Linked DNA regions of Rattus norvegicus. The protein of the gene in region 1 interacts with the protein of each later gene in a pairwise test. Links are inferred from orthologs where the notes say so. Each region holds a gene or a part of one and is shown in the gene's direction. Other genes may lie near its edges.

What was found.
Region 2: the proteins of Sdcbp (region 1) and Bles03 interact in binary tests that used the Homo sapiens proteins (3 or more experiments, as listed by UniProt). The two-hybrid records come from large-scale screens. The link is inferred for Rattus norvegicus from reciprocal best matches to the Homo sapiens genes SDCBP and C11orf68.
Region 3: the proteins of Sdcbp (region 1) and Necab2 interact in binary tests that used the Homo sapiens proteins (3 or more experiments, as listed by UniProt). The two-hybrid records come from large-scale screens. The link is inferred for Rattus norvegicus from reciprocal best matches to the Homo sapiens genes SDCBP and NECAB2.
Region 4: the proteins of Sdcbp (region 1) and Rundc3a interact in binary tests that used the Homo sapiens proteins (3 or more experiments, as listed by UniProt). The two-hybrid records come from large-scale screens. The link is inferred for Rattus norvegicus from reciprocal best matches to the Homo sapiens genes SDCBP and RUNDC3A.
Region 5: the proteins of Sdcbp (region 1) and Anp32b interact in binary tests that used the Homo sapiens proteins (3 or more experiments, as listed by UniProt). The two-hybrid records come from large-scale screens. The link is inferred for Rattus norvegicus from reciprocal best matches to the Homo sapiens genes SDCBP and ANP32B.
Region 6: the proteins of Sdcbp (region 1) and Kctd6 interact in binary tests that used the Homo sapiens proteins (3 or more experiments, as listed by UniProt). The two-hybrid records come from large-scale screens. The link is inferred for Rattus norvegicus from reciprocal best matches to the Homo sapiens genes SDCBP and KCTD6.
Region 7: the proteins of Sdcbp (region 1) and Rnh1 interact in binary tests that used the Homo sapiens proteins (3 or more experiments, as listed by UniProt). The link is inferred for Rattus norvegicus from reciprocal best matches to the Homo sapiens genes SDCBP and RNH1.

The regions. Positions count from the first base shown.
Region 1 is NC_086023.1:24,311,317-24,315,503, forward strand, and holds the end of Sdcbp (syntenin-1), read left to right. Parts: intron 1-555; coding exon 556-727; intron 728-1,352; coding exon 1,353-1,444; intron 1,445-2,238; coding exon 2,239-2,293; 3' UTR 2,294-3,396; downstream 3,397-4,187. UniProt on the Homo sapiens protein: Multifunctional adapter protein involved in diverse array of functions including trafficking of transmembrane proteins, neuro and immunomodulation, exosome biogenesis, and tumorigenesis.
Region 2 is NC_086019.1:212,162,155-212,166,723, forward strand, and holds Bles03 (UPF0696 protein C11orf68 homolog), read left to right. Parts: upstream 1-1,737; 5' UTR 1,738-1,846; coding exon 1,847-1,968; intron 1,969-2,610; coding exon of another isoform or gene 2,611-2,624; coding exon 2,625-3,381; 3' UTR 3,382-3,992; downstream 3,993-4,569. Other genes in the region: Drap1 (dr1-associated corepressor), read right to left, coding at 38-126, 267-381, 480-599, 879-972, 1,058-1,130, 1,362-1,403.
Region 3 is NC_086037.1:64,412,801-64,416,773, forward strand, and holds part of Necab2 (N-terminal EF-hand calcium-binding protein 2), read left to right. Parts: coding exon of another isoform or gene 1-134; coding exon 135-159; intron 160-2,167; coding exon 2,168-2,276; intron 2,277-3,973. UniProt on the Homo sapiens protein: May act as a signaling scaffold protein that senses intracellular calcium.
Region 4 is NC_086028.1:87,858,760-87,862,543, forward strand, and holds the end of Rundc3a (RUN domain-containing protein 3A), read left to right. Parts: intron 1-125; coding exon 126-291; intron 292-397; coding exon 398-555; intron 556-1,154; coding exon 1,155-1,316; intron 1,317-1,413; coding exon 1,414-1,520; intron 1,521-1,922; coding exon of another isoform or gene 1,923-1,942; exon of another isoform or gene 1,943-2,551; coding exon 2,552-2,694; 3' UTR 2,695-3,144; downstream 3,145-3,784. UniProt on the Homo sapiens protein: May act as an effector of RAP2A in neuronal cells.
Region 5 is NC_086023.1:65,545,020-65,548,992, forward strand, and holds part of Anp32b (acidic leucine-rich nuclear phosphoprotein 32 family member B), read left to right. Parts: intron 1-3,370; coding exon 3,371-3,520; intron 3,521-3,973. UniProt on the Homo sapiens protein: Multifunctional protein that is involved in the regulation of many processes including cell proliferation, apoptosis, cell cycle progression or transcription.
Region 6 is NC_086033.1:19,125,741-19,130,193, reverse strand, and holds the start of Kctd6 (BTB/POZ domain-containing protein KCTD6), read left to right. Parts: upstream 1-1,262; 5' UTR 1,263-1,307; coding exon 1,308-1,334; intron 1,335-3,317; coding exon 3,318-4,004; 3' UTR 4,005-4,453. UniProt on the Homo sapiens protein: Probable substrate-specific adapter of a BCR (BTB-CUL3-RBX1) E3 ubiquitin-protein ligase complex mediating the ubiquitination and subsequent proteasomal degradation of target proteins.
Region 7 is NC_086019.1:205,697,988-205,701,173, reverse strand, and holds the end of Rnh1 (ribonuclease inhibitor), read left to right. Parts: coding exon 1-127; intron 128-1,756; coding exon 1,757-1,927; intron 1,928-2,039; coding exon 2,040-2,127; 3' UTR 2,128-2,288; downstream 2,289-3,186. UniProt on the Homo sapiens protein: Ribonuclease inhibitor which inhibits RNASE1, RNASE2 and angiogenin (ANG). May play a role in redox homeostasis. Required to inhibit the cytotoxic tRNA ribonuclease activity of ANG in the cytoplasm in absence of stress.

The DNA.
Region 1 (4,187 bases):
AGGCCTCATGAACCCCCACTCACTGCTTCTCTGGTGGGTCTTTCACATTAGAGCCAAGTTTTGCCTGTAATCCCGGCCACCTAGGTGGGGTCCTGGCGCACGTGGTGGGGAGAGCTCATCCTGCAACTTACACTTTATGCATAGCACACCTAGTAAGTAAGTGAAAGGAACGAATCCGTGAAAATGTCAAAACTGAGATGTGGAAAGTGCAGGGAAGTTTAAGGCTTAAATGTCTGAGACCAGCTGGTTCCAGAGGTGCTGGAAGGACTTAGTGGTTTAGTGGAAGGGCATCTGGCTCACTGTTAACGCAAGGTATGTGGGCTGTGGAGGGAAAGCGCAGTGATAACTCCATGGAGCACTATGCTCTCTCCTCACACTAACAGGGTATCTCAGTAGTGAGTCAGTCAACCCGTGTGACATGTTAACCATAATAGATTATTAGAAACACCTAGCGCTTACTGTAGCAACATACCCCATGTGGCAGAGTTTGTAGGCATGCGTGTGTATTGAAATAGGAAGTGGAAGTTTCCGTCTAACACAGCCCTTATGCTTCAGACCCTTTGAACGGACAGTTACCATGCATAAGGACAGCAGTGGACATGTTGGCTTTATCTTTAAAAGTGGAAAAATCACATCCATAGTGAAAGACAGTTCTGCTGCCAGAAACGGCCTTCTCACTGATCACCACATCTGTGAGATCAACGGACAGAACGTCATTGGCTTGAAGGTAAGGAACTCACCTTACCTTGAAGGTAAGGATCCTGGTTTCGGTGTCATTTTTTTGTAGAAAACATCATTTAGGTGGCAGGGCTTTTGTGATGACCCCCCAGTCACACTTGGTGGGAGGTAAGTGCAGGAGCTGGGGCTCTGGCTCTAGCTTAGGCCATCCAGAAGTAACTTTGGGTTATTTGAATTACCTTTCCTATGCCAAGGTGGCTAAACTGTGATTACGGGCATTCCTTAAGCTAGAATTCTGTTGAGACATGGGCAGGGAAATATTCAGACATTCTGAATGGATGCATGGCCAATTTTTTCATTCCAGAAATACAGAAAAGGAGTAAGTCTTGGTACTTAGTAATCCTTTGTATTTTTGTAGATTTTGACTAAGTCCATAAATTCTAGAACACAGTTAACTGTGGCGCAGGTAGTTCTCAAGCAAGAAAAAAGAGTTTTGTTCCGTACCTTAACTTTGCTACTAGCTTAAGAAAATTATATGTCAGATTAAAATCAAAATTCTGACATACCGGGACTGGGACTCCAGCGATATCAGCAGGACAACATCAAAATATAGTGCCTTTTTTACCTAACAATAGAGAACACCTTAGTGAAACTTCATTCTATTGTTTCATCAGGATGCTCAGATTGCAGATATACTGTCAACAGCTGGGACTGTGGTCACCATCACAATCATGCCTGCCTTTATCTTCGAACATATTATTAAACGGTAAGTAGATTGGGAGCTCTTCCACTTATGCTTGCCAGCACCTGACACACATGTAAACACTGCCTTCGGCTTGCAGGTCTTCTGCATATTAGATTAGAAATCTGGTCACGGTGGTTCCTAATGGGTGGCTTGCCTGCGAGGTATTGAGAGTGGCTGTTGCTGTTCTCTCCTGTGTTTTAGAAAGTAGAGAGCTGCATGGTGCTCACTATCTGTCCTTGGGAACCGAAGAGGGTACAGTCATAGGCCAGCAAGGTGGTTCTATCCAGAGTTTTCAGATCCTTTGTTCCTTCATAGCTGTTGCCATGCTGTCTTGGACACACTTCTTCCAGAGCCCTGATATAGCACATGAAAGTGAGATTTGGAATATACATAAACGTAACCTTTGTAATGGATTTTTGTTTATATGTTTGGGTTTTGGGTAGAATGAAGCTAGCTACCCTCAGAGCAGGAAAAAGAGTTGATTGTTGTACAGTCTTTTTTAACTATGGTAGGTTCCTTATCCTCCCTCCTTTTCTTCTGAGTCATCACAGTCGTCCATTTCAGTTAAACAACCAGTCTTAGTGTAAAGGCCTCGCACCTTCTCGCATGTCTATCCCTGACGTAAATATCTATTCTTCCTGGACAGTTTGTGACAACTCAGATATTAGTTCCTTAGATCTGTGCTCATTTAAAGACCTTTCCTTCTTCATCAAATTCATCAGCACAACAGGTGCTAAACTGGAACTGGGGTTGTCTTAGGTGAACATGGTATTTTTGAAAATAAGACGCCAGTTACATGAGTGGCTCTCTTGTAGGATGGCTCCCAGCATTATGAAAAGCCTGATGGATCACACCATTCCTGAAGTTTAAACCTTGTACAGTGCATCACCGCCGAACGCTTCCAGTCTTCCTCTTCGGCAACTTCTCTATTTCACCGCACATGAAGCTTTCCCGGATCCAGGGAGACTGTGCTGCATGGAGACCTGTCTATCTTCCACCATGGCTGGGAACCTCACTCTATCTGAGAGCGTCTTCAGATTTTAAGATAGGTGTAGCCTTATCCTGGTTTTACAGATGTGAAACTCTCAAAAGATTCCCTGACTTTCTAGACTTGGTTCTTTACTGGGAACCTGATGTTTTTCTATAAGCCATTGTGATTAGGATGACTGGTGTAGGCTTAGCTGTGTCCGAGAACTGGTCTGCTTTCTCCGAGAAGTGCACAGTGCTAGGCACGTGCTTCAGTTCTGTGGCATATGTGGATTGTAGTACATCAGCATAGTACCTGTAGGATGATTGCCTTTGATCGCTACTTTTTAAGTTTGTGTGTGAGTGTGTAAAATTCCAGTTAATCAACACTTCCATTCCACAAAAGCATTATACAGTTCTGTGTAGGTGGCAAGAGACTAATGATTGTCACTAAATTCTAACTACCTTCACTTAATGTGCTTCAGTTGTCGCCTTAACTACAGTAAGCATTTAGAATAAAAGCCAAAATAGAATTATTGCTGCCTTCTGAAACCTGAGAGGTTAGCTCTCTATCAAGCTGTTCTATGCTAGCCCTGAGCAGCTTACTGGTGTCGCAGAGCTGCCTAGCTGTACCAAGATTTTCTAGTCACTGCATAAAGGAAACGCCTAAGAGTTGCCGTATTGCTTTCTGAGATACAAATTGCTATATATTTCATGTAAAAGTTGTTATACTAAATAGGATAAATTTTGGAGTCTCTTTTTCACTCGTAGATTAAGTGGGTAATATCTAATTTGGCACTTGAGTCCTAACATTATGTAACTTTAGCTAGGTTGGGGTGGGTTTAGAATGTTTCCCTAGTCATCTCAGTTTGTTCCATTTTCTGACTCTATCCTGCAAACAAAAATGGCAATGACACTTTATCCTGACTCTTTCCTTCTTAGTTTGTGCCTATCTTATTATTTTATGTGATATTATCCTATTAAATGTATAAAAATATTAAATGTCAGTCTGTCTGTGATTGCATCAGTCCTTACTGTGAGGTTGCCTGACACCCAGGGTCTCTTAAGACAGTCCTAGAGCTCAGACTGTCTGGCAGTACACTAGCTGGGAGTCTTTATTGGCCAGGCCGTGGCCCTCTTCACCCTGCACACTTGATGTCATGGGACCACACTTGCTGGGAGGCCTAGATGCCCAGCCTGTGGCCACCTTCTCCCTGCATACCGGGCGTCAAAGGAACCTGGAAAGGCTGCTGGGTCCCTAGTAAAGCCAGAGACCATCCACATGTATTAGTGACACTTAAAACTAACTCGGGGTTCTACTACTTTAGTCTGGCTCAAGAATTTGTCCTTTTCACTGTAACCATGCTTCCAATAGCACAGAAAATTTGTAGCTGCTGTTCAGAGACTGAACGGAAAAAAAAAAAATCTTTGCAGGCTCTATATAGGCTACCTTGTTGGAAATTTATAATTCCCAGTTTGATTATCTACCTTGCTCTATGGACTTGTTCTGAATGTAGGTCCAAAAGAAATGAAATTGTATTTGTGTCATTAAGTATGGTTTTGTAGAAGGATTAGTACTTGTGATTATTTAAATAAGACAAGGGAGAAAGTGCTTTCATTACAGAAAAATATTTTTAATGTAGAAAAGATGAACATTTCGTAGCATAATGAAATATAAACCATTGCTATACACAGTAATAGACTTCCTGTTATAAGAACAGCTACTCCTCCCCCAGATTCTCAGAAGCTGGGCACACAGCACCACAGAAAGGAACGAGTCCATGAAACACACGAAGAA
Region 2 (4,569 bases), on another chromosome or scaffold:
TTGTTGTGCCTCTTTCTGGTATCCCTGGGGTGCTCACCTCTGAAAGTGGGCAGGGGGGTGACTGGCTTGGGGTGGGGCCTGTGGTGTCTCTTCTTCCCCATCTGTATCTGTGTCCTCAGACTCATCCTGTGAGCACAGCAAGGGTCAGGTTAATGAGAAGGTCTGGGCCCTTCTCTGGGGAGCCCAGAACCCTGGTAAGGCAATGGAGTTAGATACAAAGGCTGTAACAAGGATGAGACCAGGCCTTCCCCACCGGCCTCACTCACCTCCTGTTCTGAGTCTGTCCCGGACAGCTTTTTGTCTTTGCTTTTGCTTCCTGTGCCTCCATTCTTCCTGCCACTGCTGCCTGGTTTCCGGCCCCTTCGGGAAGGTACAGGCCATCTGCACAGAGGACTCTCTCCCCTTCTTCACCCCCCAGCCACCCCCAACCCTTGTGGCCTTGGCCTTTCCCACTTATATACCTGGTTTTGGTTACCCACCTTCGAGGACCCTTGTCCCCATCCGTGTGGTTGTCTTCCCCATCACCCTGCATGTCAGGCACAGATGCCACCAAGTCTTTCAAGAAGTCAAATTGCTGTTCAAGCTCAATGCACTGCTTCCTGTAGAAGTGGGAGAGGAAGGTGTTCAAAAAGGGCCCCCAAAACACTGATGTTCCGGAATCATAGAAACAACCTTTTCGTGTCAGTACAGTGGAACACCCCTCCCCACTTCCACCAGGCCTCCCGGGCGGGCGGCTTGGCTCTGGTTGTTCCCTCCACCTGAAACACCTTATCTCTCCTACATCAGTCCAAACCCACAAAGCTGGCCTCCCTCAGCAGCGCACCACTCCCCCTGTCAGAACACTGCCTCCTCAAAAGCCCAGCTTAGCGGCCACTCACAGGTGGGACGTGGTCATGGTTTTGGCATTTCGAGACTGGGTCACCTGGCAAGCCTTCTTCAACAGAGACTCCAGGAAGAGCTCAAGTGCCCGGGCTGAGGACGTCAAGGAGAATCCAAAAAGGGGAGTGCCGCAGTCCCGCCCCACGCCCCTCAGCCCAGCCAGCCCCTAGTAGGATACAGATGATGACAGGCACAGCTGCCGCCACCTTCCCAATCTCTTCGTCTGTCTGCATGATCTTCTTGATCCGCGCCTGCCGAGGGGAAGGGGACAGAGCTCGTCTCCTGCGTCTCTACAGGGGAGCTGAGTGAACCGGGGGGTATCCCAGGAGAAGAGGGCGGGGGGCACTAAGCCAGGAGGGCATGGAAGGGGCGGGGCGTCAGGCCATGAACACCTAAAAGCACCCGTCCCCCCACCAGCAGGACCTGGGCCCAAGCCTCCCAGGAACCTAGCCTGCAGAGGCCCATCCCGGCCACGTGCTCACCGGCGGAAACCGCGCGTTATACTTCTTCTTCTTGCTTGGCATCTCGGGGCCTCTCACGCTGCGCCGGGCCCAGCGCCGCCGCCCGCAGCCTCCAGGCCCCGGGCCTGTTCGCCGCCAGCCGGCCGCGGTTCCCCCCGGTCCTGGTGCCGCCTACTCCGCCCACACCACTTCTCGCAGGGTCCTAGTGCCGTTCGTAGAAAAGCAGCTCCCAAAACCCAAGCGCTGGGCTTTGGATCCTCTAGGGCGGTGCGCGTCCTTCTCAGGGATCGCCCGCCACGCCCACCCGCCCTCCAAGCTAAAGTACGAACGTTAGCTCCGCCTCCTGAAGACCTGCACCTCCCGGGATTCTCGCGCTGGCTCCGCCCCTGAACTCAGCCCGCCCCTTCCCCTGGAGCCCCCGCCCCTAGCCTTCTGGTTCCGCCTCTGGCCCCGCCCCGTGACTGTGTTTGTCTATAAAGTTGTTGTTGAGGTGGCGGGACCCTAAGATGGCGGCGGCGGCGGCGGCCGTGGCAGGGGCGGGGCGCGGCGGGGGTGGCGGCGCAGACCCCGGGCAGGAACGGAGCCGGGCCCGAAGTTGGGTTGGCGCGGAGCGGAGTGAAGGCCGGAGGTGACTGTGGGGCGACGAGAGGGCAGCCCGGGGGTGGAGGCAACCCTTACCTGTGAACACTAATGGCGGCGGGTGTGGTAAGGCTGGAGCCTGGTCCTCGCGCAGACTCTGTCCTATCAGGTTCGAGTCCGGATGTTGCCCATTGACCCCCAGATGGGCCGCTGTCCTCTCTGGGTCTCAGAGTCTTGGTGTTGATAAGTGTGCCCCAAATAGTTCACCATGGGAGGCCTGGCCCCTCTCCAGCCAGCCTCTGAGATTGGCGAACCTGCGTTTTGCCTACGTCCATTAAATTGCAGCGCCGCGCTACCTGCGAGACTCTAGTCCTGTGGTGTAGCAGAGTCCTGTGCCAGTTAACACTTAAGCTTTAACGGTCTTTACAGACATGACCTTGGGCAAGCCCCTTTTCTCAGAGTTTCAATTTCCTTGTTTTTAAGCAGTGAAAGTAGTACTGACAATAGCGACTCCACCTCAGGCATTTTATTCTAGAGACAAATCTAGACAGGATCAGTTGTTATCCCATTGTGAAGATGAAGCAACTGAGGCACAGACATTAAGACTTGCCCAAGGCCACAGTTAAAAGCAGTGCCTGGCACCCTCTAGGACCCAGTACTTTTTATTTACTGTCTCAAACTTCTGACTCAGTTCCCTCACAACAGGATGGAACCAAATGAAGAGCTGGAAGAGGAGGACTCTCCAGGTGGTCGTGAGGATGGCTTCACTGCTGAGCACCTGGCTGCAGAGGCCATGGCAGCTGACATGGACCCCTGGCTGGTATTTGATGCCCGTACTACACCTGCCACAGAGCTGGATGCCTGGTTGGCCAAGTACCCACCATCTCAAGTTACTCGCTATGGGGACCCAGGTTCACCCAACTCTGAACCTGTGGGCTGGATTGCAGCCTATGGGCAGGGTTACACCCCCAATTCAGGGGATGTACAAGGGCTGCAGGCAGCCTGGGAGGCTCTGCAGACCAGTGGGCGACCCATCACACCAGGTACCCTGCGCCAGCTGGCCATCACCCACCATGTGCTCTCCGGCAAGTGGCTGATTCACCTGGCACCTGGCTTCAAGCTGGACCATGCCTGGGCTGGCATTGCCCGGGCTGTAGTTGAGGGCCGTCTTCAGGTGGCCAAGGTGAGCCCACGGGCCAAGGAGGGTGGGCGCCAGGTCATCTGTGTTTACACGGATGACTTCACGGACCGCTTGGGAGTACTGGAGGCAGATTCTGCCATCCGTGCTGCAGGCATTAAGTGCTTGCTCACTTACAAACCTGATGTCTACACCTACCTGGGCATCTACCGAGCCAATCGCTGGCACCTTTGTCCCACTCTCTATGAGAGCCGTTTCCAGCTTGGAGGCAATGCCCGTGGCTCTCGAGTGCTGGATCGTGCCAACAATGTAGAACTGACCTAATGGGGCCAAGTAGGAGAGACCACCTTTTGCTTCCCAGCTGGGGATGGATCCTTCTTTCTTCTCTTCCTTGTCCCAAGAAGGCTGAGCTCCCTAGCTCTGAGGACTCATTGACTTGGGAACTGCCTGCACTCAGTCCCTTTGAACCTCTGTGCAGGGCCAACTCCAACCTCCACAGGTTTGGGGCTCTGGCTCTCTGAGGGCCAGGCCCTTGGCTGCCTCTTTGATGCTGCTCCCCACCACTGCCCAGGACCACAGCTTGGGTGCAGATACTCAAGAAAGTCTGCCCTGGCCACCTCTGTCCCTACTATACTTAGCCTGCATTCTTCCTTTTCTTTCCTCCCTCAGAAGGGAGAAAACTTAGTGCTTCCAGTCCCTGCCCTTGGAGCCATCATGGCCCAGGTGGCAGGACCCTTACAGGACTCAGCATGCTATTGGGACCCTAACGTGTTCTGGCCAAGAGGAGATGCAGGGTCGGACATGAGGTCTGCTCCTCCCTGCACACTCATAGCCTGCATCACCAATATTCCTTCCCTGGCTCCCTTGACATGTGCCTGCTCCTGGCATTTCAATAAAACCCAGCTTGGGTCTGTGTCTTGAGTGTTTTTTAAAAATACTGTCCTGATGGTTACCTGCATTGTCTCTCGAGAAAGACCAAGCTAGCCTTTTCCTCCCTCAGCAGTGAAGATGGTATGCTGCTTTGCAGAGGCCAGGCTCCACAGCTGAGAACCTCTTTAAAGCTGTTCTCCCTCTGTAACCCATGGATCAAAATCAGTTTCTTAGGTCTTTCCAGGGAGGCCAAGGGGGATATTCTTTTGGTCCCAAGGTATATTTATTTGTCATTTTATTTTATTAAGAAAAGGTCTCTTGGGTTCGGTCCCCAGCTCCGAAAAAAAGAAAAAAGAAAAGAAAAAAAAAAGAAAAAAGAAAAGGTCTCACTGTGTAGCCTCGGCTGGCCTGGAACTTACTATGTACCCTAGGCTGGCCAGTAACTCAGAAATTCATTTGTCTCTGCCTACCAAAAGTTCTGGGTTTAAAATCCTGCACCACCATCTCCAGCTTTTAGGTTTTAAAAAATTCTATTCATAGTGCCTTTAACCCCAACACTTGGGAGGCAGAGGCAGGTGGATCTTTATGAGTTCAAGGCCAGCCTGTTTAACAAGGTGAGTTCCAGGACAGGACAACCAGGGC
Region 3 (3,973 bases), on another chromosome or scaffold:
CTGGAGGTCTCCTGGGGAAGTTTGGGCTTCACCCAAGCTGTTCCTGGGAGAGGGATCTCAAGCTGGGTTACGAGGCTGCTCAGGGCACCTGCCCAGACTCATCTCAGGACTGACTCCAGCCCTCCTCTCTCCAGATTTTCCGCCGTGCGGATAAAAACGGTGAGTTTCCTTCTAGGTGCTTCGTTGCCCGCACTCTCCCTGTCCTGGTGCTTCATGGGAAACAGCTAGGGGTGGGAACATGGACGACTATGGACCTGAGGGTGAAGAGTGCAAGAAATCCAGAGGCTAAGTGCTGTCACTGCTCTGTGCCTCGGTTTCCCCTTCTGTAAGCTGACGTGGTAACAGCTGTCCTGTGTTGCCCTGAGCTTTGGGGTGAGGTAAAGAGATGTACGTGGGTGACCTACAACACTGCAGAAGAGAACCCTTGCCTGTCACCTGCCCTGAGGCCCTTCCCAAGTGGGTTTTAATTCAAGGTGGCTCCGGCCTTGTCCACCTCCTCTGCCCTTCCTAGGAGCTGTTGTTAACTGTCCCACGTGGTTGTGGGTTGGGATGGAGCTCTTTGGGATCTGGAAGGACAGGGGGACAGGCTTGGGCTAGGATCATTATAGAGGAGTGTTGCCCTCTTGGGCCTGTCCCAGGGATGGTATGCATCTTCCCAGGCCTTGGGGACCACCTGCAGATTCCACACACAACACAGGGATGTAGGGTACCAAAGGTGTGGTAGCACTGTGCAGAGCCTATACTACCCAGGGAAAGAGGCCTGGCCCCTGCCCCCCACACAGGTCACAGGAGTGTCAGCTTGGAGCCTTAGACTGCACCCTCCTGACCCCCACCACTCCCACAGGTTGGGTGATTGAACTTGTCTTCTCCGTTGAGGCCATTGTGCCCAAAGCACAGGAGGGCCTCTGTGCCAATGCATACATCTGCCAATGTATGCAAGATGCCTTCCATTATGAGAACAAGGCTGAGTGTCTCTGGGAGGCTCTCATGATTGACTAGCTTGGATGTGGTAGACACGGGGTAGCTAATCCCCAAGGGAAGGCTAGTGTGAGAGGCCTGGGTATCACCCTCAAAGACTGGCATTGTTGTTCAGCAGAAGGGTGAGGACCAGCCAGCCCTTCCATCCAAGGATGTGAGGCTCACAGGTTCCTGCTATTTGAAAGGTCATTGCTGCAGGCTGGGCTCCTGCTCATTAGTAGCACCACCTGCAAACAGCCCCACTTGGGTCATTGGCAGAGGTGATGAAACTGCAGGACAACTTGTCTTCTCTAATTGGACCAGAGGCCAAGTGGAGGATATTTTCCTCTTAATAGCTCATCTGTGCTCATTAGGCCTGTGACTAGCACCCAAGGTAAATGTCAGAGGATCTGCAGGCCCTGTCTTCCAGCTTCCTGTTCTCTCTGGGTACAGAGGACACTGAGGTACCATCCATGATAAGCAGGTGGAAACAGTCAAGAGGGAAGCCTGGCCTGGTGTTAGCACACCCCATGCTGTGCCCGGGACAGACATGACTAATCAATTACAGCACACATTCATTGAATCTAGCATTGGCTTCAGCTTTTCCATGCAGCCCAGCTACGCCATGAAATATGGAGCCACTGACTACCCCTCACCCAAAAGGTGGGGGACTGTGCTGTTACCTACCATGTGGCACAAAGTCCTGCTCTAGGGTAGGTTGAAGGTCTGAGCTCAGCCTGCTGTTGCCTTGAGGAAGGACGGAATAGAAGGACTATCTTCAGACTGCTTCAGAGCTGGGACCTGGGGCTTGGATTGAGCATGATCCCTGATAGGCTAGTGGTATCAGGTTAAGCATGTTGCTTAAATAATGTCTATGTAAGGGGGCTGGGGATTTAGCTCAGTGGTAGAGCGCTTACCTAGGAAGCGCAAGGCCCTGGGTTCGGTCCCCAGCTCCGAAAAAAAGAACCAAAAAAAAAAAAAATAATGTCTATGTCAGATGACTGAGGGGAGAGCAGAAGGGGTGATTGCCTGATAGAGCATGAAGGTATCTGCTCCCCAGAAACCAGTTGTCTCCGATGGTTTGGGATTACCTGTCAGTAGGCCTCAGGCTGACAACAGGGAGTTTGTCAGCTGAGGACAGGCTGTAGGCTACCATGCGCTCTCTTCTCTGAGACAAGCAGTCACTTGTTTCCTTGCCTGTCCATTGCAGACGACGGGAAACTGTCCCTTGAGGAATTTCAACTGTTCTTCGCGGATGGCGTCCTCAATGAGAAGGAGCTGGAGGGCCTCTTCCACACCATTGATTCAGACAACACCAAGTGAGCCTGGGCTACTGTGGGGCACCCTGGGATGTGTGGGCTCCTCCCTTCTTCACAGTGCCAAGGTCCTGTTTAAGGGCAAGAGGCCTAGAACTCCCCTGACTCAATAATTCAAAAGTCAGACTTACTTGATCCTCGCTGCCAAGCTGCCTGAGCCCCGTGTGTGTGTGTGTGTGTGTGTGTGTGTGTCCCACAAAGTTTGTCTTTTCTGAGCGACCTTGGCCAAACGGGGAGAGACCCTGGGCCTGCTGCAGTATACGCAGGACTGATGGGAAGTTGGCTGTGGCCCTGCCTGCTATCTCTCCATTCAGTTCTAATCCCAGCGTGACCTCAGACACCGCTTTCCCTGTGAACCACCATCCCAAACCACCCTACAGTGTCTATGAATCCCAACTCTAGCCTGAACTCCACTTCTGTCTTTTTTTTTTTTTTTCTGGAGCTGGGGACTGAACCCAGGGCCTTGAGCTTGCTAGACAAGCGCTCTGCCACTGAGCTAAATCCCCAACCCCTGTGAATTCCACTTCTGACCTTGGAACAAAATGAACTTGTTTCTGTAACCCACTAAGAACTTGGACCTGTGACTCAGCCTCCCAGGACACCTGGCGTCCAGAGCCAGCATAAGTGTGCAGTGTCCTTCACTCATCTTTGTCTGATGCCCCTGAATTCTGCCTGGGTGGGCAACAGCCACCTGGTCACCTTCCTCTGCCCCACTGAGGTGCTGAGGACTAAAGTTTCTAGGGGTGCTAGGGCAGGTGGGATCACTTGGGGGGCCCAGAGCCTAGCGGTGATGTAGGTACATGGTTACTACCGGGCCACTTTGCAGTTTGCTTGTAAAGTGGTAGCCAGGAACTGAGGCTGGAGACCTGACAGGGTGTAATTTTCTGAGGATGTCTTTTGGTTCTCATAGTAGAGCAGGGCTCTCTGTGTCCAGGCCATCTGAGGTCTTAGCTTCTCTGCAGCCTCTTGGGCACACATTCTTGGGATGCAGAGGCAAGCGGACCTCTGAGTTCAAGGCCAGCCTGAGTGAGTTCCAGGACAGCCAGGGCTACACAGAGAAACCCTGTCTCAAAAAACAAACAAACAAACAAACAAACAAAAAGATCCAAAGAGGTTGCCCTGAAGGATGGGGTGGGGTTGGGGGATCTATCCCTATAGGGAAGGTCACAATTCTGAAGACATTCTGGATTCTTGACTCCAGTATTCCCTGAAGTAGACATAAGAAGCAACATTTCCGGTTGTCTGAGGCACTCCAAGGCAGTCGCCGGCCTTGGAATCTACAGACAACCTTTTCTCAGATGGGCATGGCATCTACCAAAAGCAGTCCTGAGCCAGGGTAGAGGCTAGGCCCAGAGAGGAGGCATCAGACCCCACACAGACCCTGCTGGTCCCTCTGCTGCAGCTTCTGGTGCTGATGCCTTCACGCACCTCCCCAGATCTGAGCAAGGACCAGCTCCTTCCCTGCTTTAGTCTAACAAGTGAAGTTCAGGGCTAGAATAGAGGCTGACCCAGAGCCCCAAGAGTCCTAGGAGGGGCAGTAGTATTGTTTTGACAACTTTTGATAGTCACAGCCCACCCTGCAGCCCTTTCCCGTCTCCCAGGCTCAGCCCTTGACTAGTCCCAGCTACTCAAGATACGGCCCACAGGCTCTGAGAGAAACCTTGTGCCTTCAGGTATGGTGGCATAGGTCTGTGGCCACA
Region 4 (3,784 bases), on another chromosome or scaffold:
CGAGGAGATGGGTACCGGAAGGGCGCTGAGTGTCATCCTGGTGTCACTGCCCAAGGGTCGGAGTTGGGGTGCTAGTGGGGCGAGGCGGGGCGGAGCCGGCCCCACCCACTGCTCCCGCTCCTAAGCTACGACTACCTGACGGATGAGGAGGAGAGGCACAGTGCAGAGAGCAGCACCAGCGAGGACAACTCACCAGAACACCCCTACCTGCCCCTCGTCACCGATGAAGACAGTTGGTACAACAAATGGCACAAGATGGAACAGAAGTTTCGCATTGTCTACGCTCAGAAGGTGCGCGGGGCGAGGCGCGGGGAGCTGGGCGCTGTGGGGGCAGGGCCTGGGCTGGGACCCCAGCCGGGACCCCTTTGGGTGTCCGGGCTGAGCCGGCGCCCCGCAGGGATACCTGGAGGAGCTGGTGCGTCTGCGGGAGTCGCAGCTGAAGGACCTGGAGGCGGAGAACCGGCGGCTGCAGCTGCAGCTGGAGGAGGCAGCGGCACAAAATCAGCGTGAGAAGCGGGAGCTGGAAGGAGTGATCCTGGAGCTGCAGGAGCAGCTGTGAGCCCGCCTCCCGCCCTGACCCCTGTGAACCCCAACATGACTCCATTGGATGGGATCATGAGGACATCCAATTCGCATCAGCCCACTCATCCCATCCTCTTTCCCAAGATCCTGTGGTGGCCAAACATTACCTGCCCCCCACCTTAAAACCTGGCAGCTTCCAATACCCATCAGCTAGCGACACCAACCATTCCTCACAGGACCTAAGCAGGCTTGTTTTATTGTGCACCATCCCCATTGTACAGACCTCTGATAGGCATCACCCAGTGACACCCCCTCCCCCAACCTGGAACATTACCTCCCCGAACCTGACCCAGCTAGCTAGCACAAACCCCACCCCTTCAAGAACACCCACCCTTTCTACTCTCCTCCCGACAACATCCCAACTGATTTCTAAACACTCCATCACTAATCCTGGCCACCTTACTAAGGAGCAGAACTTGTGAGCCTCTTACCTCAGAGATCCTAGTGCCATAATTCCAGACATGTGCCACCCTCCCTGAGCAGCATATATCCCCATTTTTTTTACCACTCAAATTTCCTTTCTAAACCCTGGCCCCCACCTTTGCTGAGACTTGCTTCCCTCTCCCAGCCAGGCCTGATCCCCCTCCCCCTCCCAGGACAGGTCTGATCCCCGGTGACCATGCCCCCCTGGCCCAGGGTTCCAAGGAGCTCACCACAGCCCTGGTCAACCAGTGGCCCTCCCTGAGCACACTCAGTAGACCGGAGGGTGCCAGCAACTCCAAGCTATTTCGGAGGTAAGCCTCAGCCGAATGCTATCCCCACATCCCAGTCCCAGGAAGCAGGGCCTGGAGCTGTGGGTAACTCCCCACACCCTTTCCTGTTTTGCTATAGACACAGCTTCATGAGTACGGAGCCCCTGTCTGCAGAGGCCAGCCTGAGCTCAGACTCCCAGCGCCTGGGTGAGGGCAAGAGGGACGAGGAACCCTGGGGCCCCATCGGTGAGCACACCCTGCCCACACACTTCAGAAAGTGAACAGGCCCGGTAGTCAGGCCATGGCTGAACCCCTTATTCTCTCAGCCCTTCCTGTACTTATATGCCAATGAGGAGCTTGGCCTGGGGTTTCAAAAAAAAAAAAAAAGTCCCAACTTGGGCTGTACCTCTTCAACCTTTAAACTTGGTCAGCCTCTGTACTTTGCTGACCCATTATTTCCATCTGTAAATTAGAGATATTGGGAACAGGAACCTCCAGGGTGCATGTATGGAGAGGGCTCAGTGGCTTTTTACTGTCATGACATCCTCACAGGGCTACTCCCGGGATTCCTCAGCCTAGTTAGTTCTTCCCACACGCACACTGTGAACTCCTGCCTGACCAATGTTTCCCCTTCTCTTTGGCTGCCAGGAAGCTCAGAACCAAATTAGTGGCTCCCTCCGAGTGAATGCCCAGGACTTCAACGCATGCGTTTTGTGTTGACCCCCCCCCTCCACCTTGGTTACGCCCTTCCTAGTTTCCCCCCATGCCTGGACCTCCTGTCTTTTTTTTCTTTAATATATAGATATATAATTATACTGTATCAGATAACTTGACTTTGAGGCAAGGCAGGCTTTGGACATGTAACCTAACCACACTGTGTTTGTGACTCTGTGTGTGTGTGTGTGTGTGTGTGTGTGTGTGTGTGTGTCCCACCAGACTGTGAGCTCCACGCGGGCAGGGACCATGTCTTGTCCATTCTCTGTATCCCCAGAGTGTGAAACAGAGCAAATGCTCACTGTGTGCTTAATAAATGGACAAAGAGAGGCTGAACCTCAGGGGCAGACAGAGACATAAACTGATGGTTTATGACACAGTGTCTCAAGCCCTGTGCAAGGGATGTTCAATCAAGGTTTAATTAAAAATGGCTGATGCTGCAGAAGAGGCCGTGTCTCCTAGGGATGACATGAGAATAGCCCCCTTTCTGCCCACCAATGAGGACCTCCTCCCCACATACACGCAGACCGGTTGGCCCAGCCTTACCCGCCCTCTCTCCCCAGGGAAGGACCCCACGCCCTCCATGCTGGGCCTCTGCGGCTCCCTGGCCTCCATCCCCAGCTGCAAGTCCCTGGCGAGCTTCAAATCCAACGAATGCCTGGTGAGCGACAGCCCTGAGGGCAGCCCAGCACTCAGCCCCAGCTGAGGAGCAGCAAGGGCAATGCCAGCCCCACCTGCCAGGGGCCATGGACAACTGCCACCTTTTGAGTCCCCCACCCCAGGCCACCCTTCAAGAACAATACCCAGCTAGCCTCAGGTCCCAGCTAGCCTCGGGTCTCTAGGGAAAGACAACCTGAGCCTCTTTCCTGCTTCAGCTTCCTGCCAAAGAGGCAGGAGCTACATGGGGAAGTGGTGGGGCAAGGAGGGACGCCCAGGTTACAGGTCGTCAGTCCCCTGGGGAAGCCACTCCATTCCGTGGTCCTGAAGGCTGCCTGGTTCCTTCTGTTCATCTTCCACACTTGCCTCAGAAGCAGGTGGTCCAGCCCTGGCATTCCTGCTGCCCTGCCTCTGGTCTAACCCTGTGTACCCTCTGAAGTCACCCTTCCTCGGTACCTATGTGGGGAGAGATTAGGCAAATAAAAACCAGAGGACTGAAGTGGTTTCATCTGTTGGAGAATGGGGTAAGGGCTCCACAACAGGGTCTCTTGGCCAAGGTAACCACACCAGGAGCATGTGCCCTGTGGGACCACATAGGGCCATAATTCAGGGTGTGGGCTTCGGCGTCTGGGTCTCCAGGTGCATTCTGGATCTGACCCCTCTAATACTTTAATCCCTAGCAGAGCCCTGAGGGTGTGCCTTAGTGGGTTCAGTGCCTGCCATGGGCCTAACCAACTTACAACTTTGGGATGGAGCCCAAAATTGTAGTTATGCCAGAGCTGGCAAGAGAACAACCCTGTCCCAATGACACCACCTTAGCATGTTCTTGGGGAGATGGCTCCTTGCTCTCACCCCAACACAGTGGGTCCCATCTGAAAGGACCTCACTACCTACCACACAGGAAACCTTTCACCCCTATCGTCTGGGTACTCCACGGTGTTTGGAAACTTGTAAGACAGGGTCTCTGGCTGGCCCAGAACTCACTAAGTAGACCTGGCAGGCCGCAGATCTGCCTGCCATCAACCCTCTGGTGCTGGGATTGAAGGTGCGTGCTACCACACCTGGAGATGCCAGCCTTCTCTGTTTTTCTGTGAAAATGCAATTTGGCTATGTAATCGCACCTGGCCTGGTACTCAAGG
Region 5 (3,973 bases), about 41 Mb from region 1:
GTCAGATCCCTGGAGCTGGAGTTACAGGCAGTTGTAAGCTACCCGACCTGGGCTGAACTCCGAGGAGCAGCAAGTGCTTTCAACTCTGAGCCATCTCTCCAGCGTGTATTTTTTGGTTCTTCAAGACTGTCTTATGAACTCAGGGCTTACCTAGAACTTCTGTGCCATGAAGGCTGATCTCAAACTCCTGCCTACCCTGCACCTTGTCACCTCTACCTGTGTTCTAAGATTACTGACGTGTACTACTGCCATGCCTTAATGCCTCAGCTTCCTGAGAAACTGGCCTGACCACCACCAGCTCAGACTCTGTCAAGGACGTTACAGACTTGAAGGTGGCTAGCCAGTGACACTTAAGACCTTCTCTGAGTGCAGCCTTACGGCTTGCCCTGATGTGGCAACTCCAACTGACTCATCTGGGCATTTCTGGAAGTCAGACCTGTCTTTTCTTAGCCATACTACCTACTCCTGCTTAAAATCAAAAGTCTTAGGGTTTTATTGCTAGGAGGAGACACCATGACCACAGCAACTCTATGAAGAAAAAATTTAAAAGGGTCTGGCTTTCAATATAGAGGTTTAGTCTGTTGATATTCATGGCTAGAAACGTGGTGGCATGCAGGCAGACTTGGTGCTGGAGAAGGAGCTGAGGGTTGATTCCTAGGTAGCAGGTAGTGATTATTGAGCATCTGAGCCCTCCCACCTCTTCCCTCCCTCACCCCCAATGACACCATTTTTGAACAAGGCTACATCTACTCTAACAAGGCTTCTCCTAATGAATAGTGCTACTCCCTTGGGTCAAGCGTTCAAAGATGTGAGTTTATGAGAGGCAGTCCTATTCAAACTACCACAGTGAATGTTTCCTGAGCTGCTTGTCCTTTATTTTGGAACATAGCCCACACAGGTGCATCATGGGAGGTGGGGCAGGGCAGGGTGGGGTGCACTTTCACCAAGAAGTTCAGTGTCACTCCTGCCCACTTCAGTTTTGTTCTAAAGTTTAAAAAGTTAATATGTGTGTGATGTGCAAGGGTCATGCAAGTGCCACAGTGTACATGTGGGAGTCAGGCCCATTGTGTAGTCAATTTTCTGCTATATTTTTATATGAGCGATGGGGAGTTGAGCTCACAGCACAGTAGTGCTTTCCCACGGAACAGTCCTTTTTTTTTTTTTTTTAAGATTTATTTATTATATATGAGTACACTGTAGCTGTCTTCAGATACACCAGAAGATGGCATCGGATCTCCTTACAGATGGTTGTGAGCCACCATGTGGTTGCTGGGAATTGAACTCAGGACCTCTGGAAGAGCAGTCGGGTGCTCTTAACTGCTGAGCCATCTCTCCAGCCCCCCCCCCCCCCCACGGAACAGTTTTAATATGTTGTCTTTGCTATGGCAGAAAGGCTTGTTGAAGTCCTGTTCTACCTCCCAAGTGAGACATCACATGCTTGGCTGTGTTCAGGTCGTCTTATTTTATTTTTATATATTTTTTGAGGTTTACTTTGTAGTTGAGGTTGACCTGGAACTGACTGCACTCACCTGACCAGCTCACACTCCCTTCAGCTTTCAGTCCTCTGCCTCAGCCTCCCAAGTGCTGGGATCACAGATGTCTTGTCACCATGCCCACCTTAGTTTATGAGCCAGCTTTCCTGGGGTTTAAAATGAAGTCTTCAGTTCCACCACTTGGGAGGCAGAGGCAGGAAGGTCTCTTGAGTTCCAGGATAGCCCGGCCTACACAGAGAAACCCTACCCTGTCTTGGGGAGGGTGTTTTTAGCTTTGGGCACCTTGCCTGTCTTTTTCTTAATTGCCCTGAGTTCAATCCTTGATGCTTTTTCTAGGAATACCAGGTTCCTGCCACTTATTCTTCCTTGATGACTCATGAGTACAGGCCTGAATCCAGACCACCATTGAGATTCTGAGTGTGTCTCCAGCTATAGCATTCATTGTTTCTCCTCAAAGTGCTGTTCTTTATTTCCTCGTAGGTTCGCATTTCCTTAAACCAGAACCTAAGTCCTCTCTCAATGTCCCTGTCCAACACCAGACTCAGGCCTGCATGTGGTCAACCACTTTGGGCCCTTTCCCCAGTCTCCTTTATAATCTCCATTTTGCTATTTGCCTTAGCAAATGTATTTTAGCCCGTATTTGAATGTCCTGTGGTGCTTGCCATGATAGGGTTTCTTTGTACAGCAGCAATGTTGGCTTTACATTTAGAATGCGCCTAAGTCTGCTCAGTGATAGAGCTGCCATAATATTTTGTTCCCCCTCAACCCCCTAGGGAAGTTTCTTATCATCCCACACAGTAGTTAAACTGGACAGAATCTTAGCAATTAAAAGAAGGATCAAGGAGAAAATTTTCATCCCATTTGGGAGGCAGTGTGGCATAATCTTTAATTCCTCCCCACTTGTTTTGGACATATTAGTGTCATATCTTAGGACATTTTAATTTTATTATTATACGAGAATGAAAATCGTCTTAGCTCGGCACAGTTCAGTACCAGCACTCACAAGGCAGAGGCAGTCGGGTCTCTGAGTCAGAGAAGACAGATGTCAACATCTCAAAGTCTAGGTCAGCTAGAGCTACATAGTCAGACCCTCTTTAAAACAAAACAGAAAAGATCTGAAACTGGAGAGTGTGCAGGTGTAAAAATCCTTACTAGGATTTATTTGTGACTTTTTCGTTTGAAAATGGCAAGGAAAAGCCAGGCATGGTGGTTGGTGTATGCTGTTAACCCCAGCACTTACGAGGCAGAGAAAGACAGGGGAAGTCTATGAGTTTGGGGGCAGCCTGGTTCACATTGTAGAGAGTGGCGGTAAGATCGATTATCCTGCTTCAAGCAGCAGGATCCTTGATCAAGTGCTCAAGTGCCTTGGTGACTTTTGTGGCAGAAGCAAAGTGTTCATCTCCCTATGGCCATGCCCTTCGTGGACTTGGAGAGAGAGAGAAAGCCTGAAAGGGTTTCTTCGCTCTGCACTTGAACTTAAGACGAAGCCCTTTCCAGACCCAGCCATGGAAAGGACAGGGACACAGGTTCACTTACGTTCTGAGAGCTGTTGTGCCTCTTGGTAGGATATAGAGTATGTGCACGCACCATCACCACCCACACACCCGTGTGTGTGTGTGTGTGTGTGTGTGTGTGTGTGTGTGTGTGTGTGTGTGTGTGTGTGTGTGTGTGTGTTATGAACTAGCAGTTGTCTTTGGGTCTTAGTACTATGCTGCTACAAAGCTAATCCTGCTTGCTTTATTTGTAGCTGATCCTACTCGTACATGAATGCTATTTTGAATTTGGAAGTTTCGCAGGATTGTATTTAGAGTTGTTTGCTTTTGTTGTTTCCTGTTACAGTTTTTAAAGCTTATTCCTGTTTTTGTTTATACCCACAGGTTCAAGAACTTGTCTTGGACAATTGCAAAGCAAATGATGGAAAAATCGAGGGGTTAACAGATGAATTTGTGAACTTAGAGTTCCTCAGTTTAATAAATGTAGGCTTGTTTTCAGTTTCAGACCTCCCGAAGCTACCTAAGTTGAAAAAGGTAAGTGTTTCTTTAATTTTTTAAGGGAATCACTTGAGAGGTATAAGTGTCTGGTTTTGTCTGGTGTAAGCACAATGTGTGTTAGTGCTCTGTGGCAGAAACTGAGATTTTCATCTTCATCACTAGCGGTTGTCAGGCCTGACCTGCAGTGTTGCAGCAGTGCTTTGGAAATAGTGCCTTCTGGGGAGGGGTAGTTAGTTGCTTTTCTCAATAATTGTTAATTGTCAGAAGCTCTCAGACACGTTTGTACTCAGGCTCTGGTTCAGGAGACACACAGCCTCTTACTTTTCAGTGCTTTATAGTTTGTATGCTGATGAAAAGGAAAGTGAAGACTAACTGTGTGAGTGGGGTATGTGTGGGGTGCCCTCTGAAGACATCGGATATGGGGGTGAAGTTGCGTGCAGTTTACAACTGCCCCCATGGGTAGTGAAGGTGGAACCTGTCTTGTGCAAA
Region 6 (4,453 bases), on another chromosome or scaffold:
CTGCAGCCAGCCGCCTGGAGCGGAGGAAGGCAGCTGACTGCCTCTCCTTGAGTTTTATTTGCTTTGAAGAATGTGTAAAGGTAGAGACTAGCGGCTGCAGGCTCTGGTTTCGTCCCCTGCTGTGCCATGCAAATGTTCTCCACACGCCTGATTGACCTTTTGAGAAAGAGCCTTTGTGATCTTCTGCAGCCAGGCCTTGTTCTTGTGCTGGAAATGGGGGCCAGATTCCTCCAAAAGTGGGATAAACGGATCTTCAAAGACCACATACAGAGCAAGCGACGTTCCTGGGTGAATACGATGGGCCCCGAGGCTCCTGCCTTCTTTGCTAGTGATTTTGAAATCTGCTCTGCGGTTTGCTGGACAGGTTGATTTGGGGAATGGCGTGCCCAAGAGGGAACTGATGAAGTGAAGGCAGCTGAGTAGCTGGGTAAGGCTAGCACGCCCTTGAATGGTAGATAAAAACAGATTGAAGCAGGCAGCACTGAGTGACCCTCAGCCAGCTCCATAAGTGTCTTTTTTGTCCCAAATTGCGCCCTAACAGTTTGTCATTTAAATTGGTTTGTTTTTATGTACAAAGAGGAATACGTCATGATTAGAAACCCTGATTGAATTTTTTTTTTATAAGATACTATCCTGGTGTGTTTCTCTTGGAAAATGACTGTTACTTTTGAAGCTCACGACTTTAAATGCTTTTACTGAGATGTTTGGTTTATGCAGCTGGCATGGTGATCCAAAGGAATCTCCCTCCTTTTCCCTCAAATGACCTTTTCGATGAAGTTCAAAAATTGGTCATGAAGGTCATAGGACCCAATCGTGACGTTCTCTGAAAATGTAAAAATCACACCTCTGCGGGAGTGACACAACGTGTAAATTTTCTTATGGCATTTATTTTGTGTGTGTGGGTGCGTGTGAGTGAGTGTGGGGTCAGAGGACACGTGTGGAGGTCAGTTTTTTCTTTCCACATGAGGGTCCCAGGGACCAATCCCAGTAGGGATCACCTACTGAGCCATCTTGTCAGCCCGGATGACAGGATCGCAATGGTCCCTTCCTCTCTCCCCAAGCGTAGGCTAGTTCTTTGTGCCCCGCGGGCTCCCGAGGCGAGGACAGAGCATGGCGTGGTTTTTCCACATCTTTGGCCTGCTGTAGCTTCCAGTTGACCTGTTCCATAAATGAGCAGTTTTTGTGAGGTTTGAATAACTACATTTGGCAGAACATTTTTCTTCTCCATTGTCATGGTTGTGTGTTTGGTTTTCTTCTTCCAGAGTTTCCCTGGCTTCTGAGCTCCTGGAGACGCAGTGCTGGAGCAGATGGATAATGGAGACTGGAGCTATATGGTGAGTGCTTGCTCACTTTGCGGGCTCCCAAATAATTTGGATGTCTTTTCGCATTCATAGGTTTACTTGAAAAGGATGCAGACTATGGATTTTTCCAGCTTTATCTAATTCCCCATGTATTTGGGGAAGGGCATTTTTATCTGGTTTGACGTTTTTAGACTCAATGGGTATTCTCCAAATAGCCCTTTTTTGTTATTATGTGTGGGAGGAGCAGTGCATGCAGTACCCGTAGAGGCCAGAAGAGGGCGTGTGATTTCCCCTGGAGCTACTGCAAGCTACCTGAATGGAGCTCAGGTCCACCTCACTAGCACATGGCATTTAACTCCTGCCATCTCTCCTGCTCCCATAGTAACTCCACTAACTGCAGATACACCTTGATGTTTCGGTCGTTGGTGTATATTGCTTTTTACATTCTCTGTTCATGGGATGGTGATGTTTAAAGGGCCTATGAATAACGGAACGGAGACTGCTTTATTGTAGGAATGGGATTAATAGTTAGAAAGTGGTTCTTCTCTCATGCAGTTTTCACATGCGTCCGTGCATCCCTATTTCCTTCTCTATCTGGTAAGACATATTTTTGCTTTCTTAGTACCTGAAGACCATTTCTTGTTTTTCCTTAAATAGGATTTCTAAAGCTGAATGTGTGGGGTTTTTTTTGTTTGTTTGTTTGTTTGTTTGTTTGAGAAGCTTGCTTCTCAGAATTAAAGGTCAGATTACAACGTTAATGTTATAAAAATGAATACACGATCAGATATGACATTTTAAAGCCGCTACCGGCCGTTTGGCACGTGGTAGTTTGGGGCTAGTAGATGGGCTAGATTGGGTTCACCAAACCATGTATTTTAATTTAGTGTTTGGAACTCATTTCCGGGGCATGGTGGCACAGGCCTGTAATATCCTGTAATATCAGCCCCTGGGAGGTAGAGGCTTATGAGTTTCCGGCCTGCTTTATCTGTATAGTAAGATGCTGTCATAACACCACCACCACCACCAACAACAACAAAAGGCAGAAAAGAAGAAACTGATGCTTCCCTGAAAAAAATTACTAAGAATGATTCTGAACAAATTTTTGTTTTTAAATACATTTTGGGAGATGGGTCAGCAGTTAAGAGTGCTTATGCTCTTGCAGAGGACCTGGGTTTGGTTCTTAGCACCTACTCCATGACTCACAACCATCCACAACTCCAAGTTCCTAGAACCACACCATTGGCTCAGATGAGGCACACGTACATACATACATACATACATACGTACGTACGTACATTCACGGCTGGGTGAGACAGTGCACACCTGTGATCCTAGCACTGTCTCAGCAGTGGGACAGAGGTAGGAGAATCAGGAATTCTAGACCGCCCTTAGCTACACAGGGAGTGTGAGGCCAGCCTAAGTTATCCGAAACTTTGTCTCAAAAAAAAAAAAATTAGATCTCGAGACTCCTTTGAGGAGAAAAATCCAACAGAATCCCTAAATTAATTATTGTTACATTATCAGATTATTTTTATATTCTAGCTTATGTTAGATTTTTTTTTTTCTTTCTTTTGGAGCTGGAGACCGAACCCAGGGCCTTGCGCTTGCTAGGCAAGTACTCTACCACTGAGCTAAATCCCTAACCCGCTTATGTTAGATTTTAAAAAAAAGGGAAGGTTTTGTCAGGTGTGGTGGCATGCACCTTTAATCCTAGTACGGGGGAAGTAGAAGCAGGCAGATGTGACCCAAAAACCTCTTTAGATTCGCTAAAGGTCAGACCTGGCAGGGTTATGGCAAACTTTTGAAGGATTAGATTTACTCTGCTTGAAAGCAAATGTTGAAGCCATTCTCTTGGGCAGGTTTTATCATTGGAAATAAAGCCATTATGGCCCCTAGTGCTTCCAGACACATTAGCTTGAAAGGGTCTGTGCCTTGCTTGTTAGTATTGATTTTTTAAATTTGTTAGTTAAGATTTTTAAGGTTTCAGGTAATTAATTGGATTTTTAAAAATTTCAGATGACTGACCCAGTCACGTTAAATGTAGGCGGACACTTGTACACGACATCTCTTACCACGTTGACACGCTACCCGGATTCTATGCTTGGAGCTATGTTTGGAGGTGACTTCCCCACAGCCAGAGACCCTCAAGGCAATTACTTCATCGATCGAGACGGACCGCTTTTCCGTTACGTCCTCAACTTCTTACGGACTTCAGAATTGACGCTCCCCCTGGACTTCAAGGAGTTTGATCTGCTTCGGAAAGAGGCCGACTTCTACCAGATCGAGCCCCTGATTCAGTGTCTCAATGACCCTAAGCCTTTGTATCCTATGGATACTTTTGAAGAAGTTGTAGAGCTGTCCAGTACTCGGAAGCTTTCTAAATACTCCAATCCCGTGGCTGTCATCATAACCCAGTTGACCATCACCACCAAGGTCCATTCCCTACTGGAAGGCATCTCAAACTATTTTACCAAGTGGAATAAACACATGATGGATACCAGAGACTGTCAGGTCTCTTTCACCTTTGGACCGTGCGATTACCACCAGGAAGTCTCCCTTCGGGTCCACCTGATGGAGTACATTACGAAGCAAGGCTTCACGATCCGCAATACTCGGGTGCATCACATGAGCGAGCGGGCCAATGAGAACACAGTAGAGCACAACTGGACTTTCTGTAGACTGGCCCGCAAGACGGACGACTGACTGGCGGCCAGCCCTCAGAGAATTTCCTGCAAGCTCACGTTTCGGGACATGGAAGAGACTTGTTGTTTAGTGTGGGCCCTCCTTTTTCCTTTTTTTTTTTTCCCCTCCAGTCTTTGTATTTATTTGAAGGCACTGAGGACCAGAAGGAAGTTTTGTGTGTGAGCGGTCCCCTCCCTGTTTTGTTCCCAAGTATGCATGTGCCTGTTCCGAGTCTCTAGAAACCTTTTTTATAAAAAGAGATCTGAAAATCATTATGGTATATAATCCACCCTTAACAGTGCTAAAATGATTTATGATAACGTGGTCCGTGACTCGACAGGAAGGCTAAAAATACAGGAATACAAGATTAAAGAGGGTGTTGCTCTGACTAGTTTCCAGACCAGTAGGCCGTATTGCAGTATTAAAGGAAGACTGGCCAGCCATCTAAAGGTACTCGTTAAGGACTGCTC
Region 7 (3,186 bases), on another chromosome or scaffold:
GCTCGGTGTTGACCAAAAATCGTTCTCTGTTTGAGCTGCAAATGAGCAGCAACCCGCTGGGAGACTCGGGAGTCGTGGAGCTTTGCAAGGCCCTGGGCTATCCGGACACAGTGCTGCGTGTGCTTTGGTAAGTGTGCTGCGCTGTAGAGGCAGGCATAGCTCCACGTTCTGGCCACCTTCTGTGAGAAGCCCCAGGGAGAGATGACCTGTCTCACCCCCTTTTGAAATGGGGTCTGTGTAGCCCTGGTACTCAAACTCAGAAATATATCTGTCTCTGCCTTCTGAGTGCTAGGGATAAGCTTGTACCACCGGGCCTGGGTTCCTTCATTTCCTTAGTCACATTCTACCTTCCAAGCATGAGTTCTACACTCTAGTACTCTTGTTTCTAGTACTCTGTGCATGCTGGTCACTGAGCTAGATGTAGAGCCTGGGGTATTTATTTCTATTTCTTTCTGGTTCCAGGGAGATCTCTGCTGTGCCACAGGAAGATCTCTGTGTCCTGTGTGTCTGCCTATTTTACTTTATTTTCTGGCAGTTTTTCTTTCTTCTTTCCTTCCTTGGTTTTCCACGATAGGGTTTCTTGGTATAACAGAGCCCTGGTTGTCCTGGACTAGCTTTTGTAGACCAGGCTGTCCTTGAGCTCAGAGATCTGTCTGCATCTGCCCCCCAAGTGTTGGGATTTAAAGGCATGAGTCACCACCCCTGGTTTTTTGGCAGATTTTAAATTTTACATTTCTGTTTACCCGTGTGTTTGCCCAAGTTCATACACCATGTATGCATGTGCAAGTCAGAAAATAACTTGCAGTTGTCTTTCTACTATGGGGTTCCAAGCATGGAATTCACTTTGTTGGGCTTGGCAGGAAGTAAGCCCAGCCCTCTTTGGCAGCTCTTAAATTTTCCTACCCATTGTGCTCTGGGCTATTGATTTGCCTATATGTGGGTCTTGGCCTGGACAAGTAATGTGCTTTCTTGATCTTTCTCCTTTTCCTTTCTCCCTCAGCATCCAGGAGTCAGTCCTTGGGTTTTAAGGGAGAACAATTCAATTCCTGTCCTCTTTTTAAGTTTTTGTTCTCATTTCTAAGATTCCCCATTTTCTAGCCAGTCCAGAGTATCATTTTGCTCTTAGTGTTTTGTCTTTTACCATTTACCTCAGCCTTACCTTCTGTGGCAGCACATCTTGCCTCTCGGTCATTCTGGACTGGACACTAGTTGACGGGTGGGCCAGGCCACTACGGGGATTACAGCCCTGTAGTCTCTCCTGTCCAGGAACTAGCATCTTGATTGTGGGATAATCTGGAAATCTTGGGGAAAGAAGTGTGGGTCCTGTTCCATGAGACTTGGGGCCCGCTACAATCACCTACAGATACAGTTCTGCAAATTTCGGGCACACCTCAGGGAGCCAATCTATAGCAGCTTCTTGATGTCACTTGGCCTACTTGTACCTTGTACTCCCTAGTATTCTGGCTTCCTGGGCTCCCTCTGATTGGTATGGATGCTAGACCACTTACCTTTGGCCTGTGTCCCACTCTCCCTCAGTCTGGAAGCCTGCCTACCCTGCCACTTTCAGTGGGCATCCTGATGTAGCTTAGCCTTGGTGCACAGGCTTCTGACCTAGCCAGGCTCCTGGTGCTGAGAGACATGAGTATGAAGCCAGAGTTCTCTAATCCAGCCAAGGGAAGCTTAGCTACATTTGAAGTGTGGAGGGCTGCCTTCCCGCCAAAGCTCAGATGTGAACAGCTCTGTCCTCCCGACCCAGGCTGGGAGACTGTGATGTGACAGACAGTGGCTGCAGCAGCCTTGCCACTGTCCTGCTGGCCAACCGCAGCTTGAGGGAACTGGACCTCAGTAACAACTGCATGGGGGACACCGGTGTCCTACAACTGCTGGAGAGCCTCAAACAGCCCAGCTGCGCCCTTCAGCAGCTTGTGTAAGTGGATGTAGTTGGTGAAGGTGGTGTACGTGGCTCAGAGGGTTGTCAGGAAGATGGGCATAGTAAATAGGGGCACCCCGACTCATCTTTCCTGCTTGCCTGTGTACAGCCTGTATGACATTTACTGGACGGATGAGGTGGAAGACCAGCTTCGGGCCCTGGAGGAGGAAAGGCCATCCCTGAGGATCATTTCCTGAGATGTACACCTCTGGACACAAGATATTAATCCAGCCCCAGAGGCAGCCCACCAGATCTCTGGCTTTGGGTGTCCTAGGGTTGACTGGCGATAAGCATTGGGATCTTACTTCAGTAGAAAACTTTAAGACACTTTATAACTATTAAAATACTTTGTTGGCAAGAAAGGTCCTCATCATCATTTGTGGGCTGGTGTAGCTCTGCTATGGACCCATGATGCTATGACTGCCCTGTGTATGGCGTAGTTCATGCATATGCTCAGCCCAGCAGTGGGTCCTTACTCAGTCTCAAAGGTAGCCTTTTTAAAAAACCAGGGTCTTGCTACTGTAGCCTTGGCCAGCCTTCAATATGAAGACTGGGACTACAGACAGTGTGGAGGGGTTTCCAGCTGTGTGCTATTACACCTTGCTCCAAGGGAGGCCTTAAAGGGACTTTCAGAGCTGAAATCTTCCTGCCCACACTGAGGAGTGTGAGTGAGGAGGAGCTCAGCTTGCAACAGTCAAGAATGACTCTGAAAGATACATTCCCATACCTGAACTCCTGGGACTGGGGTAAGCCTCAGTGGTAAAGTTCTTCCCAATACAAAAAAGGTTGAAAACAAAGCAAACCATAAGAGATCAAAATCTCTAAAGTCTAAAACCCCCAAATTATAAAAGGTTGAAATCCTCAAGGTTGGGCTGGAGAGATTGCTCAGTGGTTAAGAGCACTGGCTAGTCCTCACAGGTCCTGAGTTCAATTCCCAGCAACCACATGGTGACTCACAACCATCTGTAATGGGATCTGATGCCCTCTTCTGGTGTGTCTGAGGACTACTACAGTGTACTCTCAAGCTCCCCTTAAGAGACCTGCCTGTTCTTCGCCTCTCAAGTTCTTCGCATGTGCAAATTTATTTTTATGTGTATGGGTGTTCTGCAAACATTTATGTCTGTGTCAAATCCTATGGAACTTTGTTACAGCCATGTGGTGCTGGGAACAGAAACCAGGTCCTCTGGAAGAGCAAACTTCTAACTGCTTAGTCATCTCTCCAGTCCCCTAGTTGTATTGTTTTTTCCTTTTTCCCC